2 linked regions of the Anolis sagrei genome follow. The protein of the gene in region 2 purifies or fractionates together with the protein of the main gene of each other region. This does not show direct contact. Links are inferred from orthologs where the notes say so. Each region holds a gene or a part of one and is shown on either strand. Other genes may lie near its edges.

Evidence for each region.
Region 1: the proteins of ZMYND8 (region 2) and MTA1 purify together in Homo sapiens (affinity purification with mass spectrometry; 3 studies listed by BioGRID and IntAct, with this or other methods). This does not show direct contact. The link is inferred for Anolis sagrei from reciprocal best matches to the Homo sapiens genes ZMYND8 and MTA1.

The regions. Positions count from the first base shown.
Region 1 is NC_090024.1:132,906,140-132,913,912, forward strand, and holds the start of MTA1 (metastasis-associated protein MTA1), read right to left. Parts: upstream 3,038-7,773; 5' UTR 2,844-3,037; coding exon 2,816-2,843; intron 1-2,815. UniProt on the Homo sapiens protein: Transcriptional coregulator which can act as both a transcriptional corepressor and coactivator. Acts as a component of the histone deacetylase NuRD complex which participates in the remodeling of chromatin.
Region 2 is NC_090024.1:219,448,405-219,455,526, forward strand, and holds the start of ZMYND8 (MYND-type zinc finger-containing chromatin reader ZMYND8), read right to left. Parts: upstream 3,078-7,122; 5' UTR 2,839-3,077; coding exon of another isoform or gene 2,825-2,838; intron 2,603-2,824; 5' UTR 2,506-2,602; coding exon 2,414-2,505; intron 1,946-2,413; exon of another isoform or gene 1,746-1,945; coding exon of another isoform or gene 1,735-1,745; intron 1-1,734. UniProt on the Homo sapiens protein: Chromatin reader that recognizes dual histone modifications such as histone H3.1 dimethylated at 'Lys-36' and histone H4 acetylated at 'Lys-16' (H3.1K36me2-H4K16ac) and histone H3 methylated at 'Lys-4' and histone H4 acetylated at 'Lys-14' (H3K4me1-H3K14ac).

The sequences.
Region 1 (7,773 bases), about 87 Mb from region 2:
ATCTGCATGGAGGAATGGGCTAACATACCAACAACAGTATGCGCCAAACTTATGAGGACTTCCAGAAAACATCTGACCTCTGTCATTGCCAATAAAGGATATATAACAAAGTATTGAGATGAACTTTTGTTATGGACCAAATACTTATTTTCCACCACAATTTGCAAATACATTCGTCAAAAATCAGACAGTGTGATTTTCTGGATGTTTTCTCATGCTGTCTCTCATAGTTGATGATGTCAATTACAGGCCTCTCTCATCTTTTTAAGTGGGAGAACTTGTACAATTGGTATCTGACTAAATACTCCCCCCCCCCACCTGTATGTAAAATATGGCACTCCAGACAAAGCACAGTGATAAATACTGAGGCTCCATCTACACTAGGGCAAACTTGGGCCCTCCAGGTGTTTTGGACTTCAACTCCCACTTTATTATGACTTGAACTGTCATTCAATTTGATGTCCTATATTATATTAACTGATACTGTTAATTTGCTCTGTTTCCATGATTTTTCCTATGCCTTCATACATTGTCATCTACCTTACTAAACCACTTTATCCTTTATCTAGTTCACGTAGTGGTTTTCCTCTCCCCAAAATTAGTCTGCTGTTATTGTTGTTGCTAGCTATTTTTGTTATGTTGTTTTATGCTGTTTTATTATTATTATTATTATTATTATTATTATTATTAACTTTATTTGTACCCCGCTAGCATCTCCCGAAGGACTCGATGTGGCTTACAAAGGCCAAGGCCTCAATAAAACAACAATACAACAATACACATAAACCATAAAACAAATGAAAACATTAAGCAATAACAGTAAACAGTAAAAACATTACACCGTAGCACAATAAAACTAAGGCCGGGCCAAGTGTAGATGGGTACAGATTAAAAGTGCTGAGTATGACAGTTGAAATATAAGGATTTTTCGGTAAGTGCAATGTGCGAACAATCTTAAGTCTCTAGTAAAGTGCTTCTGGGACACGTTGCTGGGGTTTTAATTGTTATTGCTTTATTTTAATTGTACTCTGCCTGGGCTTGGGCCCCATGTAAGCCGCCCCGAGTCCCTTCAGGGAGTTTTTTTTTTTTTTGTCGTGTCAGGAGCGACTTGAGAAACTGCAAGTTGCTTCTGGTGTGAGAGAATTGGCCGTCTGTAAGGATGTTGCCCAGGGGACGCCTGGATGATTTTTGATGTTTTATCATCCTTGTGGGAGGCTTCTCTCATTATTTTTTGTCGTGTCAGGAGCAACTTGAGAAACTGCAAGTTGCTTCTGGTGTGAGAGAATTGGCCGTCTGCAAGGATGTTGCTCAGGGGGTGGCCGGATGATTTGATGTTTTTATCATCCTTGTGGGAGGCTTCTCTCTCTCTCTCTCTCTCTCTTTTTTGTTGTGTCAGGAGCGACTTGAGAAACTGCAAGTTGCTTCTGGTGTGAGAGAATTGGCCGTCTGCAAGGATGTTGCCCAGGGGACGCCTGGATGATTTGATGTTTTTATCATCCTTGTGGGAGGCTTCTCTCATGTCCTTGCATGAAGAGCTGGAGCTGTTAGAAGGGAGCTCATCCGCCTGCCCCGGATTTGAACTTGCGACCTGTCGGTCTTCAGTCCTACAGGCTCAAAGCCAACCTTAAAAACTCTGGCATAGACACTGAGAACTGGGAAGCCCTGGCCCTTGACCACTCCAGCTGGAGGTCAGCTGTGACCAGCAATGCTGCAGAATTTGAAGAGGCACGAATGGAGGGTGAAAGGGAGAAGCGTGCCAAGAGGAAGGCACGTCAAGCCAACCCCGACCAAGACCCCCTTCCACCTGGAAACCAATGCCCTCACTGCGAAAGAAGTTGCAGAGCAAGAATAGAGCTCCACAGCCACATACGGACCCACAAGAATATTGGGAGACAATCCTCCTCGGAAAACGAGGGATCACCTAAGTAAGAAAGGAGGTGGCAGGCCCGTAGCCAGGATTTTGATTTGGGGGGGGGGGGGCTGAGTCTGAGTGAAAGAGGGCCTACGCTAGCAAACCTTTTGTATCATTACCCCAATACCCCCATGCATGTATGGTGATCAGATCATGATATGAATAAACATAACAGTTTAAATAATGCACCAGTAAGGCCTTTTCGTGAACCACCATGAGCATTTCGGGGGGGGGGGGGGAGGGGGCTGAAGCCCTTCAAGCCCCCCCCCCCCCCCCCGGCTACATGCCTGGGAGTCAGGGTAGAAAAATAAAGTTCTTCTTCTTCTGGCTGTTAGGAATTGTGGGAATTGAAGTCCAAATCACCCGGAGGTCCCAAGTTTGCCCATGCCTGACCTACACTGTCGTGTAACAATACAGTTCCAAACAGGCAGTGGAGATGGGGCTTGGGCCACTCTTTCCCGGCTACTGAGGAAGAAGAGTTGGCAACAACAAAAGGGACCGCGCTCCACAGTCGGCATCAGCCCTCTTGCTTTGACAGAAGGGCTCAGGGACCGGCCTGCGTGGGCCACAGAGGGCTGCAAACGTGACAGGCGCCGGGCATCCTCTGGGAAGCTCCAGCCCAGGCCTCCTCCAACTGCGCGGGCCTACAACTCCCACCGAACAAGCGGGGAGTTGGAGACCCCCACAGCTGGAGGGCGCCTGGTCTTGGCTGAACCCCCGCGCAGCCTCACTCCTGGAGCATCCGGCCGGTGGGAGGGAGGGAGGGAGGGGAGGCCTCGAGCTGCTTCCCAGAGGCGGCTCCACTCACTCCTCAGCCCGCCTTCTCGCTGCTTCAGAGACAATGCCTCACGGAGCAGGCCCGGCCCAGTCTCCTCAGGGATGCCGAGCGAAGGGAGAGCTTACCTCCGACGCGGTACATATTGGCAGCCATGCCGGAGAAGGAGGGAAGGAAGAAAGGAAGGAGGGAAGGCCCGGCGGGGAGGACTACTGTCTCGGCCCCTCAGAGAGGGAGGATGCGGGAGAGAGGGAGGGAGGGAGGGGCAGGGCAAGGCAGCCTGAACGGCGCGGCGCCTCCAGTCCGCCGCCGCCTCAGCCTCGGCCCCTGCCCTCGCGGACGTGGCTCCGCCCCCGGGCTGCGCGAGACCCAGCAGGCTGCGCGCGCACTCCGGCTCTGGAAGGGGAGGGGCGAAGGAGCAAGGGCGGGAAGCGCGTGGTGGGGCGCCTTTTGCAAATAGGAGGAAGGGAGGCCGCCAACGAAGAACTGGCTCTTTGGACAAGCCTTTGGAATATTTTTAATACTAGTAGCCAGCTCTTTGTTGCTGACTTGCTCTTTTATTGTCACCCCACACCCTTCCCATTGCTCTAAGTCACCACCAGTTTTCCTCCTCTAATTTTGTTGTTCATGTTTCAGATGCATATAATATTGCCGGTAGAACTGTAGTGTTGAGTATATCTGCTCAGACCTTCATTGGCAGATTATTAAATGTTAGCACTGTCCAGTTTAGATTAAAAGCCGCCCAAGGAACCTTGGGTTGTCTTGCCTATTCACCATTTGCCAAATTATAGGGCTGTACTTGTTGTGAAAGTGCTGAGAGTGCCTTGGACCGCGAGAAGATCCAACCAGTCCATCCTCCAGGAAATAAAGCCCGACTGCTCACTGGAGGGAAAGATACTAGAGACAAAGTTGAAGTACTTTGGCCACATCATGAGGAGACAGGAAAGCCTAGAGAAGACAATTATGCTGGGGAAAGTGGAAGGAAAAAGGAAGAGGGGCCGACCAAGGGCAAGATGGATGGATGGCATCCTTGAAATGACTGGACTGACCTTGAAGGAGCTGGGGGTGGTAACGGCCAACAGGGAGCTCTGGCGTGGGCTGGTCCATGAGGTCACGAAGAGTCGGAGACGACTGAACGAATGAACAACAACAACAACTTGTTGTCCAAGATATACATATTCAGTCACTTACTCAATTTCATCTCCATTTATAACAATAGTTCCCAAGCTTTTTTTGACCAGGGACCACTTTGACCAGAGACCACTCTCCCAACATTAGTACCAAAAGGATAATAATAATAATAATAATAATAACACTTTATTTGTACCCCGCTACCATCTCCCCAAGGGACTCGGTGTGGCTTACATGAGGCCGAGCCCAAACACAACAATACAAGCAATAGTAACAACAATACAAGCAATTAAAATAAAAACATAGACAATAAAATATACAACATTATCAATAAGACAACACACAATTAAAAACAGTGGGAAGGCCAAATGTAGAGTTAAAATTAGAAATAATGCTGGGACATGGACGAAAAGGTGATAGTGGTGTTTGCGGAAGGGCATACGAGCAGACCTAAAGTAATGTAAGGTGCTTTGGAGGACAAAGTGCTATGGGATCATTATTCCCGGAAGGCACACTGGAACAGCCATGTCTTCAAGCTCCTCCTGAAGACTGCCAGTTAGGCCTGTCTGATGTCTTTAGGGAGTGAGTTCCAGAGTCGAGGGGCCACCACCGATAAGGTCCTCTCTCTCGTCCCCACCAATCGCGCCTGCGATGTTGGTGGGATCGAGAGCAGGGCCTCTCCGGATGATCGAAGGGATCGTGTGGGTTCGTATACAGAGATGCAGTCACGCAGGTAGGCATTATGAGTCAGTTTTTGTCAATTTTAGATTCGGTTTGGGATGCTGATTCAGAAAATTACATTGAATAGACCACATCAGCTATAGTTTCTGATACAGAACATATGCCATCCATCCCAAAGCTTTTAATTGACACCTAAATATTGCTTGGTAAGAACAGGAAGCAGAAAGTGAAATAACTCATTCCAAAACAAGACTTAGAACAGGTGTGTTTCCAATTCAGTTTTATTAGTGGTGCATTAATATAATAAAATATTTAATAAAGTAGTCTACATTGCAGTTTATTCCAAAAAAAAGCTATATACATTTACAGTCTTTAAAAAAAATACAATGAAAAAGATGGACTGATTAGAAATAGATATCCCTTCATTTGACAATTTGAGCAAAGTTCTATTGTCTAGCAAGTTCACTCTTGACAAACCTCCCAAGTTGTACCCTGAAGGATGTACAGGCTGAAACTGCCAGTTATTTCCTTCAAGAGGCAAGATATCCTGCCTCAACTGTTTCTCTTTTTAAGGAACTTTACAAATTAGTTATTTTGCCATGTTTTCCTTCTTGTTCTTGCTTAAAACTTCGGAGCCACTGTTCTGAGTAAGCGATTTGGAAACAAAGTGCAGCAAAGGTTCTTTCTACACCACCCTATATCCCAGGATCTGATCCCAGATTATCTGCTTTGAACTCAATTATATGCATCTCCACTGCCAGATAATCTGGGATCACATCCTGGGATATAGGCCAGCATAGAAGGGACCTTCGATACTAAATCCATTCTTTTTATACTGTTCAATCAGTGGGGTCCAAATGGCCTTGAAATGGGAGAGGTAGTTTTTGACAAGGACTTTAATATAAACAATATCATCATGCTTGTTTTATGTATATTTATACTTCAAGCGATGGCATAATACTGAATAAGGTGGGAAATTTCCTCCCATCCATTCCCCCTCCATTATTGCCACTACTTGCCCAACAACTGGATGCCTTGATGTGAAGCCTAGTTTACAGCTATCTAAGGGATTTTCCTTGTTGGGCCCTTCTGAGTGATGCAATGACAACTTGCTCTGTGGGGACCACTTGAAAACGAAATCCGGAGTAGGCAGGAGCCTCACACTAAGATACTAATGAAGTTACTTCAGGGAACCACAACTGCCACTCTTCTGCTGTAGCATTTACTACAGCTGTGAAAGAGAGCCATCCTGCTCATGGGGACCATGAGGGTGGGACTAATTCATCCATCTGATGTGAGGGATTAATCTCATCCCTTTGACTTTCATTCATCACTGAGTCAGAAATCTTACATTTTATTACCATTTGGTCCCACTCTTTACACACAAACACACACCATATTCCTATGTCTATCTTCCAATGAACAGATACTCCATACAGGCAACTCCAATGTATGGAAATGTAGCTCTATTTGTGTATAAAGTGGCATGAGACACTTGCTACTGAACAAATTACTTTTCAGATAAAAATATCTACATAGGCAAAACAGAAAACATGGGATTTTCATTTCAGTACCTGTCTCTAGCTAGACATAACAGACCCATTCCTTAGGCTGAATGCTACAAGAATTTACGTACATAAAATCACAGTGGCACAAGGCTAAGCCAATGCATTGCAGGCACGGCTTCTGTGGTGACCTACAGTAAACTCTAGGAAAGTGCAGATGATCCTGGAGCTACACCAGACTTTTGGAACTTATTATGGAAAATGTGATCACACCAGTAAAGCATTGGGAAAGGAAGAACTCTAGAACCTCCAGCGGTGTCTGTGGAGTCCTCAACTAAGAATTGCAGCCCATCTTTCCATAATGGTATTGCTTCACTTCAGAGAATCAGTCCAACATGGACAAAAGAGGAGTTGTTTATTTTTTGGCTTGAACCAGCTGGTGAAGGATTTTGGCATGCCGGACTGTTCTGGAATAACCTGTGGGCTGCTTGTAATAAAACAAATGTCTGCTGTTTATAGTTCTGTCCAAATGTCTACCTATTTATTTACATTTTTATATATATCTGGCCCAATCTTAAAATGTTTTTGGCATCTAAATACTACCAAGGAGAAAGTCTGGTGAATTTTTCTCATGAGAGCATTCCATGGGAAGAGAACCACCAGAAAGAAAGTTCTTTCTCTGGCAGCCACCCATTATACTATTGTGGATCCTAAAAATTATTATTTAATAATAAGTTTGGGCAAGTGTACTATTGAACTTCACTGTTGCTAAATTACCAAATCCTAGCATCCCAGCCAGCAAGTAGCGGGTTAAACTGTCAGCTGCAGAAAATCTTGCTGACCAGAAGGATGGCAGTTCAATTTGCGAGTCAGGGTGAGTTCCCGCCATCAGTCCTAGCTTCTGCTCAAAAACAATAATGTGAGTAGATCAATAGGAACCGCTTTGGCGGGGAGGTTAAAGGTGCCCATGAAGACATGCCAGCAATTCTTTCAGAAAGGTGTTGACGGACAACAGGCTCTTCGGCATGGAAAAATGGAACAACAGCACCTCCCCATAACTGAAGTCAAGCACAGCCTCCAGATGCCAGAAATGAAAAAGAGGGAAGCCTTGCCTCTATCTATGTATTGTCTGACTTTGTTAATTGTATAACGACATATATGTATTCTGTAATCTGCTCCCCTCAGGGAGATAGAGCGAATATAAATAAAGTATATTATTATTATTATTAAGGAATGCTGGGAGTTGCAATTCAGCAATATTTGGAGTTCACAGCCCTGTTTTCTCCACTATACTTTGCCCATCCTATGACCAACAGTTCACATAAGATCTAGGAATTGCTAACTGAGTTTCAATTCAGCAATATTTGGAGTTCACAGCCCTGTTTTCTCCACTATACTTTGCCCATCCTATGACCAACAGTTCACATAAGATCTAGGAATTGCTAACTGAGTTTCAATTCAGCAATATTTGGAGTTCACAGCCCTGTTTTCTCCACTATACTTTGCTCATCCTATGACCAACAGTTCACATAAGGTCTAGGAACTGCTAACTGAGGTGTTGTGGTCAGAAACATAAATCCTTATGAACTATCATGTTACTCCATTGTGCACAAAGTGAAGTTTTGGGACCATCTTGAGAGGTAGACTGCATACAAGTTATTGCAGCAATTCAGGAAGCAAGCTAACAGTATATAGCTAAGTCTTTTCTATCCAAAGTAGGATTTTGTTGATACATCAGTCAAGCCTAGTAAAAGCATTCCATGCCACTG
Region 2 (7,122 bases):
GCTTGCAAAACATTAAAAGAGGAATTAAGCTCTCAATTTTAATTTTAGCATAACAGTTTTTTGGTGAGAACTACAGCTCAGTTATGTGGTTCCTGATAAAACAAGTCACCATCAAGACCTGCAGCATTCATCACCAAAATCTGTTGTGTCTGGTCAGTAAAAGCACCTCCACCTACCCAGCCTCTGCTGTTTAAGACAATGCATATCACCTGCTTGAAAAACGGGGGGGGGGGGGGGAGAGAGCACCCTGTTATCTGTGTGCGTGCCATTCATGAATGTGACAGATTAATACACTGTCAAAGAATTGGGAATTATGTGGAATTCTCAGATTGGCTGAATTTGCTTTACTTAGATGAACAAAGATGGGAGAAATTTCCAGAAGGCCTTTCTTCGCCTGGCTACAGTATTTGTCAATCTTTAACTTCTCCTCTCTTTCTATTGGCTCCAGCTCTGAGGAGAGCAGCATGATTGGGCTGATCCTGGGAACAACACGGCTGTCTCTCCTCGCTTCAGACATCTTGCTGCAATGCAGACATTTATATTTTGTGAACTATGAAAGAATTTGCATTTGAACAATTTAAAAGGGTGAACTTCAGGGGACTTGTGGTGCTGTGTTTTATTATGTGCACAAGAGCTGCCCATGCAAGCATGCTTTCCCCTGTCAGCAATATCTCTGGAGGCACAGATTTGAGACACATCCCTCTTCAGCTAAACCTAAGGGAGCCATTTTAATTCAGGCATTCTGAGCACTGCTCGTTTTTCCTGCTTCTTCATAAGATAATATTGGGTAATGTTCCGATTCCACGCCCATCTGCTAATGCACAATGCCCTGCTACAAGACAAAAATATGCCTTTGACAGTAGAAGAACTTAAACTTTTTGCTCAGCAATCTCTTGCTATCACTTCTACAAGCAAAGAATGTATAAAATAGCAGAGAAACCTAACACTGAACTTCAGCACTTTTAGGAGTGGGGAGGAGGGCAAGAGAGAATCCTTTTGAATGAGGCATTTGAGTAATACACATACTTGGGGGTTTTCACTTTAAATACAGGCAATAGTTTTATCAATTGCATGGGATCCCTGTATAAATGGTAACAAGGCATCATTTCGCAAAATGCATTTGTATTGTATAACAAGCAGGGCTGTGTACAGACAACTCACAGCAGAGCCTCTGTTATGCTGTGAGAAAATGTCCACTGAAAAAGCTGCTTGTGGAGACATGCTTACAAATGTCTCAGCCCCAGATTATTTTTAAAAAGCACAAGTTACTCAAATGTGGCTCTAAAACCAAATTTCATGCTGGATGATATATCACAGGAGAACAAAAGCAGAGGGGTAACTGTGGAATAGCCCTGTAACAATGTGGCAAGATTAGTTTGCAGAGAACTAGCACATTCATCACACTTCAAAAGCCTGGGGAAAGTCTGAATTGAGCTTTAACCTGAAAAATGCATTAATTAGAAAGATCTAGGAACAAAGAGTAAGCAGAATTTCATTTTCAATGGAAAACAGGAAGTACACAATGTGGCAGAAGACTCTGAAAAAACTGAAAAATCACACTGGCACACAGTTTGTATAAAGGCAAATACTGAACAAACATCAACAAAATTAGTTTTACTTCACTAAGCTATCCACAGTTTTACTTAACTGGCTGGATTAAGTTTGTCCTGTTAAAAGCAAGAAAGATTAAAAATAGTGCAAAATGATCAGAGAATAGCAGACAAGTTTACTTACCAAGTGTTCATGCAACCATCTCATTTTTCCAGTAAATAGGATACAACAAGCTGGCAGATTTGGGATTTGACCAAAAGGAATTTTTTGAAATAATTACGTAGCACCATGCCAAAAATCAGAAGAGCCCGAAAGAAAAGGGGGAAAAAATGAACATGTAATACTCCCATGAACCACACATGATTTTATATCACTCCACCTCAGAGAACTGTGCCTGATATATTGCAAAAGAAAAAAGCACATTTAAGAAGTCCATTAGTTTTACTTGTACTACAGAAAAGGACATAGATAACAGCTCAAAAAACATGTTGTCTTTAAATAGGCTGGCACTGAAATATGCATAGCTATGCCTGATGGCTTCAGACCTAGACCTTAACTGTTTCTACAATCTACAATAAGAAAAGTCCTTTTTAAAGAGACAGCTGGTAAGCAAGAGATTGCCCTCCAGAAAATATACACACACTGCATCTAAGGCTCCTGTAAGGAAAAAGTAAAATATCAAATTTAAGTTAAGGTAAAGCTGCACAAAAACATGATGCAATAGCACTCCACCACTTAGGCCCAGTATCTGCAATCTCCCATTAGCACTATTTCTTGTGGTCCAGGCAGCTAAAAATCCTATGCTTTTTCAAGGATCACTTTGCCTTGCCCTTCTTTGCCCTGTTTGAAAAGGTAAACTTGCCTGTTCTGCTGTCTGCCATGATCCCTGCTTGTCTCCCTGTAGGGCAGTTCAGTGCATCTGCTCCCTAGCTTCCATTTTCTCTCCAGCAGCATGTGACACAACAGACAATAGTGCAGGCAAACTGCTCAGACACAGAGAGCTGCTTTGGAAGAGCAGGATCTTGAGAAACACTCACAGCCCACTAGCCTCCTGTGAAGAAGTATGTATGCAAACGTTTTTGCCACTCTGTACATTTAAAACTATGGCTAATGGCTACTAAACCATGTGACCCAAGAAAGCAAATTTAAACATTTTCAACTTAATAAAGTGCTTTGGGGGCCAGTTTTGCGAACCAGATCACAGAGAATCACACTGTTAAGCCACAACTCATAGGTTTCAGAGGAAAAAAAAATGTAAAAAAGTCAAGCTTACCTCTGTGGATGCATTGTTAACACAGTGTTATGTCAATACTTATAAAACATGGAGGACAGGCTCTCAGTACTCAGACAGAAAGGGCTTGGCACTTCAGCTTGATGATCTGTCTTCCTAATAAAAGCTAATCCTGGATTGGCTACTTTGGAAAATCTGAATGTAAAGCTTCAGGGGATTGGCTGAAACACTTCCTGAGCGATTATCTTTGTGCAGCTCTGGCAAGCAGGAGCCATCCTGTGCACAGAGAAGACAGGCTAAACTAGGCCCGTTTCAGCAAAAGAAACTTAAAACGTGAGCCACACACAAGCAAATGACTCTCAACGAGTAGATTTTTCAGCAGAATAGAGCAAGCACCAAGTGCCAGTCCAAAGGAAACGCTTCTCCAACGACATCTGTTGGTTCTGTTTAAGTTTTGAAAAAACCTGCAGGTTTCCATAGGTCACCAAAGCTGCTTTGCCTTCGGGGAGAGCAACAATTTTCTTTTTAAAAACTCCCCTAAAAGCCACGCTGGAAGCAAAAATTTTTGCAGTCACACACCCACAAACAACACAGCATAAGGCATGCAGTGAAACACACAGCAGACGACAAGGCCAAGAGCTGAAGTTCATCTGTTATATAACAGCTACACAGCTCAAAAAGCAAACATAACTCTTCCACACATACTAATAATGTTTAAGGGAGATTTAAGAATTCACACTATGGATTTTTACTAACACAGACAATGCAGGTTACAATCTAACGTAGGACAATGGCTTCCTGACCACTTACAATACCCATTTCCTAATTAAATATGTAGGATGCAGAAAATAGCTGTTTTTCAGTAATGTGTGAGGTGCTCTTTTCACAAACAGCCCCTTCTCTCATCCCTAAGGCCTTCAAAAGTTGTCAGTTAAACAAAAATCTGACTTTCCTATTAGTCTGCTGCAGCTGCAGCTTCCTGCCCATTAACCCTATCACATTCGGCTTTCTTTATTTTTTTTTAAGATGCAGGCCTTGCAAAGGGTTGAATTTCAGTGTGTGGAAAAATACCAGAGCTGCTTTCACAACAGGGAGGAACAATGCAAGTGCTTTCTGAATTTAGCACGTTTCATGTAAAATCCTTAAACAAAAATTTCGTTTGAAAAGACAGGATTTTTAAAAAGGAAATGTCATTTTAGTGCAAGAGCATAATTTGTCAAACAACCAGTTTGATTTAGGGCCAGCTCTTAAAGCACAGTATTCCAAGAACAAAATGAGCTTTCATTCTCCTGTAAAAAAAAACAGCCTGTGTTGCAGTTTTGTTACCAAGAGACGTTGCTGTGCTGTGGGAAGCAAAATAGTTCTAGATGAAACATTTCAAAGAACAGGTTTTCACATATGCCCTCAAATAATGCTTATATTTAAATTAATTATCTGGAGTCGCAAAAGAGACAAGTAAGGAGGAAATCAACTTAATCCGCAAATTATTTTGTAGATAAATGCATATCTGAACAGATAGTGAAACATTAACAAAACTCGACCAGCAATCTTTTAAATGCACAAATTGACAATTTAAAAAATGGTTAACAAGAGGCAGATAGTAAGAAAATCATGCTTTGTATCAAAATCAGAATGAAACAAGCAATTATCCAGAAGTATATACTGGAAATTCACATAAACAAGGAAGCTATAGATAATGGCACATTGTGCCTTGAAAGCAGTAAGGCCAACAACCAAATCAACTCTATTTTTAACTGGCCTTCTAGAACAGATTGGTTTAATAATCACATCAAATGAAAGCTAGTTAAAATATTTTTCCAAAAATCTCAGCAAGTGATATAATCAAAATTAGTACACACAGACACAAACCTTTTCAATGTGGATTTCAATTCAGTCACACATTTATAATCCAATGCACAGAAATAATCCTAGACTACTGTGCTTCATGCTGTGGTTACATTTTCTTGAGATAACAATCATTTTCACACTTCACAAGGAAACTCTCAGAAGAATCCCTATGTTCCATGCCAAAGCTGTTTTTCAGGCTGTATCAGTGAAGAAGTGTAGTGCTCAATTCACATATAAATTGTACAGCTTCTCTGAGAGGGAAGCATTTTTTTCCTTTCAAATCCTACCCACATTTTCATGGACAGGCAGCAATAAAACTCCAAATGTATCTGCATAGTGTTTTTTCATCCTGCTTTTTTAGAATAATCGAGAAACTAACCTCTAAAAAAAGGGGGGGGGGGTGCATCAGCCACTTGAAGCAGCAAAAGTAATCTGAAAATGGATGGAAAATCCATGGAGTCATATACAAATGTCACAGATAAACAAATGTTACATTCAAACCTTTCTGTGTAGGTAGGTATAAGAGTGATGTTGTTTATCTGTGTCTATAGAACCCTATGCTGCAATATCAGCTACAAAGAAAAGAAACACTAGCCAAGTGGTATAGTATATTAATGAGAGATTATGCAGAAGCAATGGCTACTGAATAGTAAAAAAAAAAGACTATGCATTTAACTTGAATTCTTAAGATCACCGGAAACAAAAGATTTACCAGATCTATCTATAGTCTAATAGGAGATGACACACAGCTAGAAACATGATAGTTGTTAATACACTATTCTAACTAGAAACTGTTTAGTAAAAGCTATAGGTACATGGCTACTCAATGCTTTTTTAATTTCTGAAAGAGTCAGTGTTCCATTTGCCCCACATAAAGACCAGAGCATTTTATTCTATTCCAGCTAATCTTCAGGTTCCATACTTAAAATCACACAAATTAAAAACACCTAGTCTTACCACAAGCGCTGAAACACTGGAGCAAATCTGACTTTTCTATCAGTCATAATAGTATGACTGTACGTACTACAAAATGGTTGCTGAAACCTAATTCATTTGATGCAATTTTCAGTTTGTTGACTCTGTAGGAAGAAGCCTTTCTCCAAGGAGTCTTGGATAGCTCACATGACAATATCACGTATTTTCCTCGCAATAACATATTGTGTATGTTTGACTGGAAAGATGATAACTAGCCATTCTCTAGTTATCTCTATGATCCACCATTACTTGCCACCTCACACAGAAATGCATCAGCTTTCTCTTTTCCCTGGACTATTGGAAATACAAGAAAAGGTTACAGCTTAGTATGTGAAGAAAGCTTCACCTCCCTCCCTCCCCCCCCCCCCCCGCAAGAAAATGAGTATGCAAGCCAGCACTGAGACACTTGCGTACACATACAAATCATGACCAACCCCTTTCCATAAACACACAAAGCTGTTTCACATTTAAGCAACCACAACACTGTAAAATACATACAAGAATTCATCTTATCAAGGCTGAGAGCATAGCAGCATTCAAGGCTGAAACACAGACTGAAGGGAATTGTCTACACACAGGCTACTCTAAAAGAAGTAAAATGGTAGGCAGTGGGACAATGAGAGCAAAAGCAGCAAAACACACAAAGCAAACGATGTATCATAGCAAAGGAAGCAGAGAGTAAAGGAAAGAGGGAGTGAAGAGAACTGTTTTTTTAATTGTACTGATTGAGTCTCCCTTATAGGGAAACTTTTGGCTGCCAAACACCCACTTCCATCTTTGGGGAAGAGGGTTTAGTCCACATGTCAAGTGCCTACTGATTTTTCCTCAGGGAGCCCACACAAAGGAAATAAACGATTGGCACCCAGGACACTTAGTCTTCCAACCTGGCCAATGAAAGCACACTGAGAGGCGGGTGCCCTGGAAATGGTTGAGAAGGCGAACATGGAGCCACCCTATTGGCTGTTGCCTGAATCTAGCGCTGAACCCAACTGCTTTGCTAGAAGAGCTGAAACTGTGCTTGACAGTTAGGGAAATATATCTGGGATTTTCTTTTTTGCTGGGAGCTTGTGTAAGTGGACTCCCCACTTCTTCTTTTCTTTCCCCCATTGAGTTTTTTGCAGTGATGGGATGGGGCAGGGGCTTACTGAGGCAGGGTTGGATGGATGGACACTGGACACAGTGACTAACCTCCTCCCTCCTATCCCTCATTCACAATGAATATGCCAATATAGGTTTACCAAAATGTGTGTGTGTGGGGGGGGGGGGGGTCCTGAAACCCAAAAAACTTTGTGTCCCAAACATTTCAAATGCGGGGGGGGACTCAACTTGTATAATAGTGCAAGATACCTCTGAGGTAATGAAATCATTGACTGGAAATATGACACTAATCTTCCATTTTAGTGTGCAGATGAGTCACCAATGCATCACACTTAAAGGAAGAGAGAGAAAATCCAAAAGAAAATGTTTCTGAAGTATGCTGATAAGGCATAACGAAAGTTTCAATATAATTAAGCAAA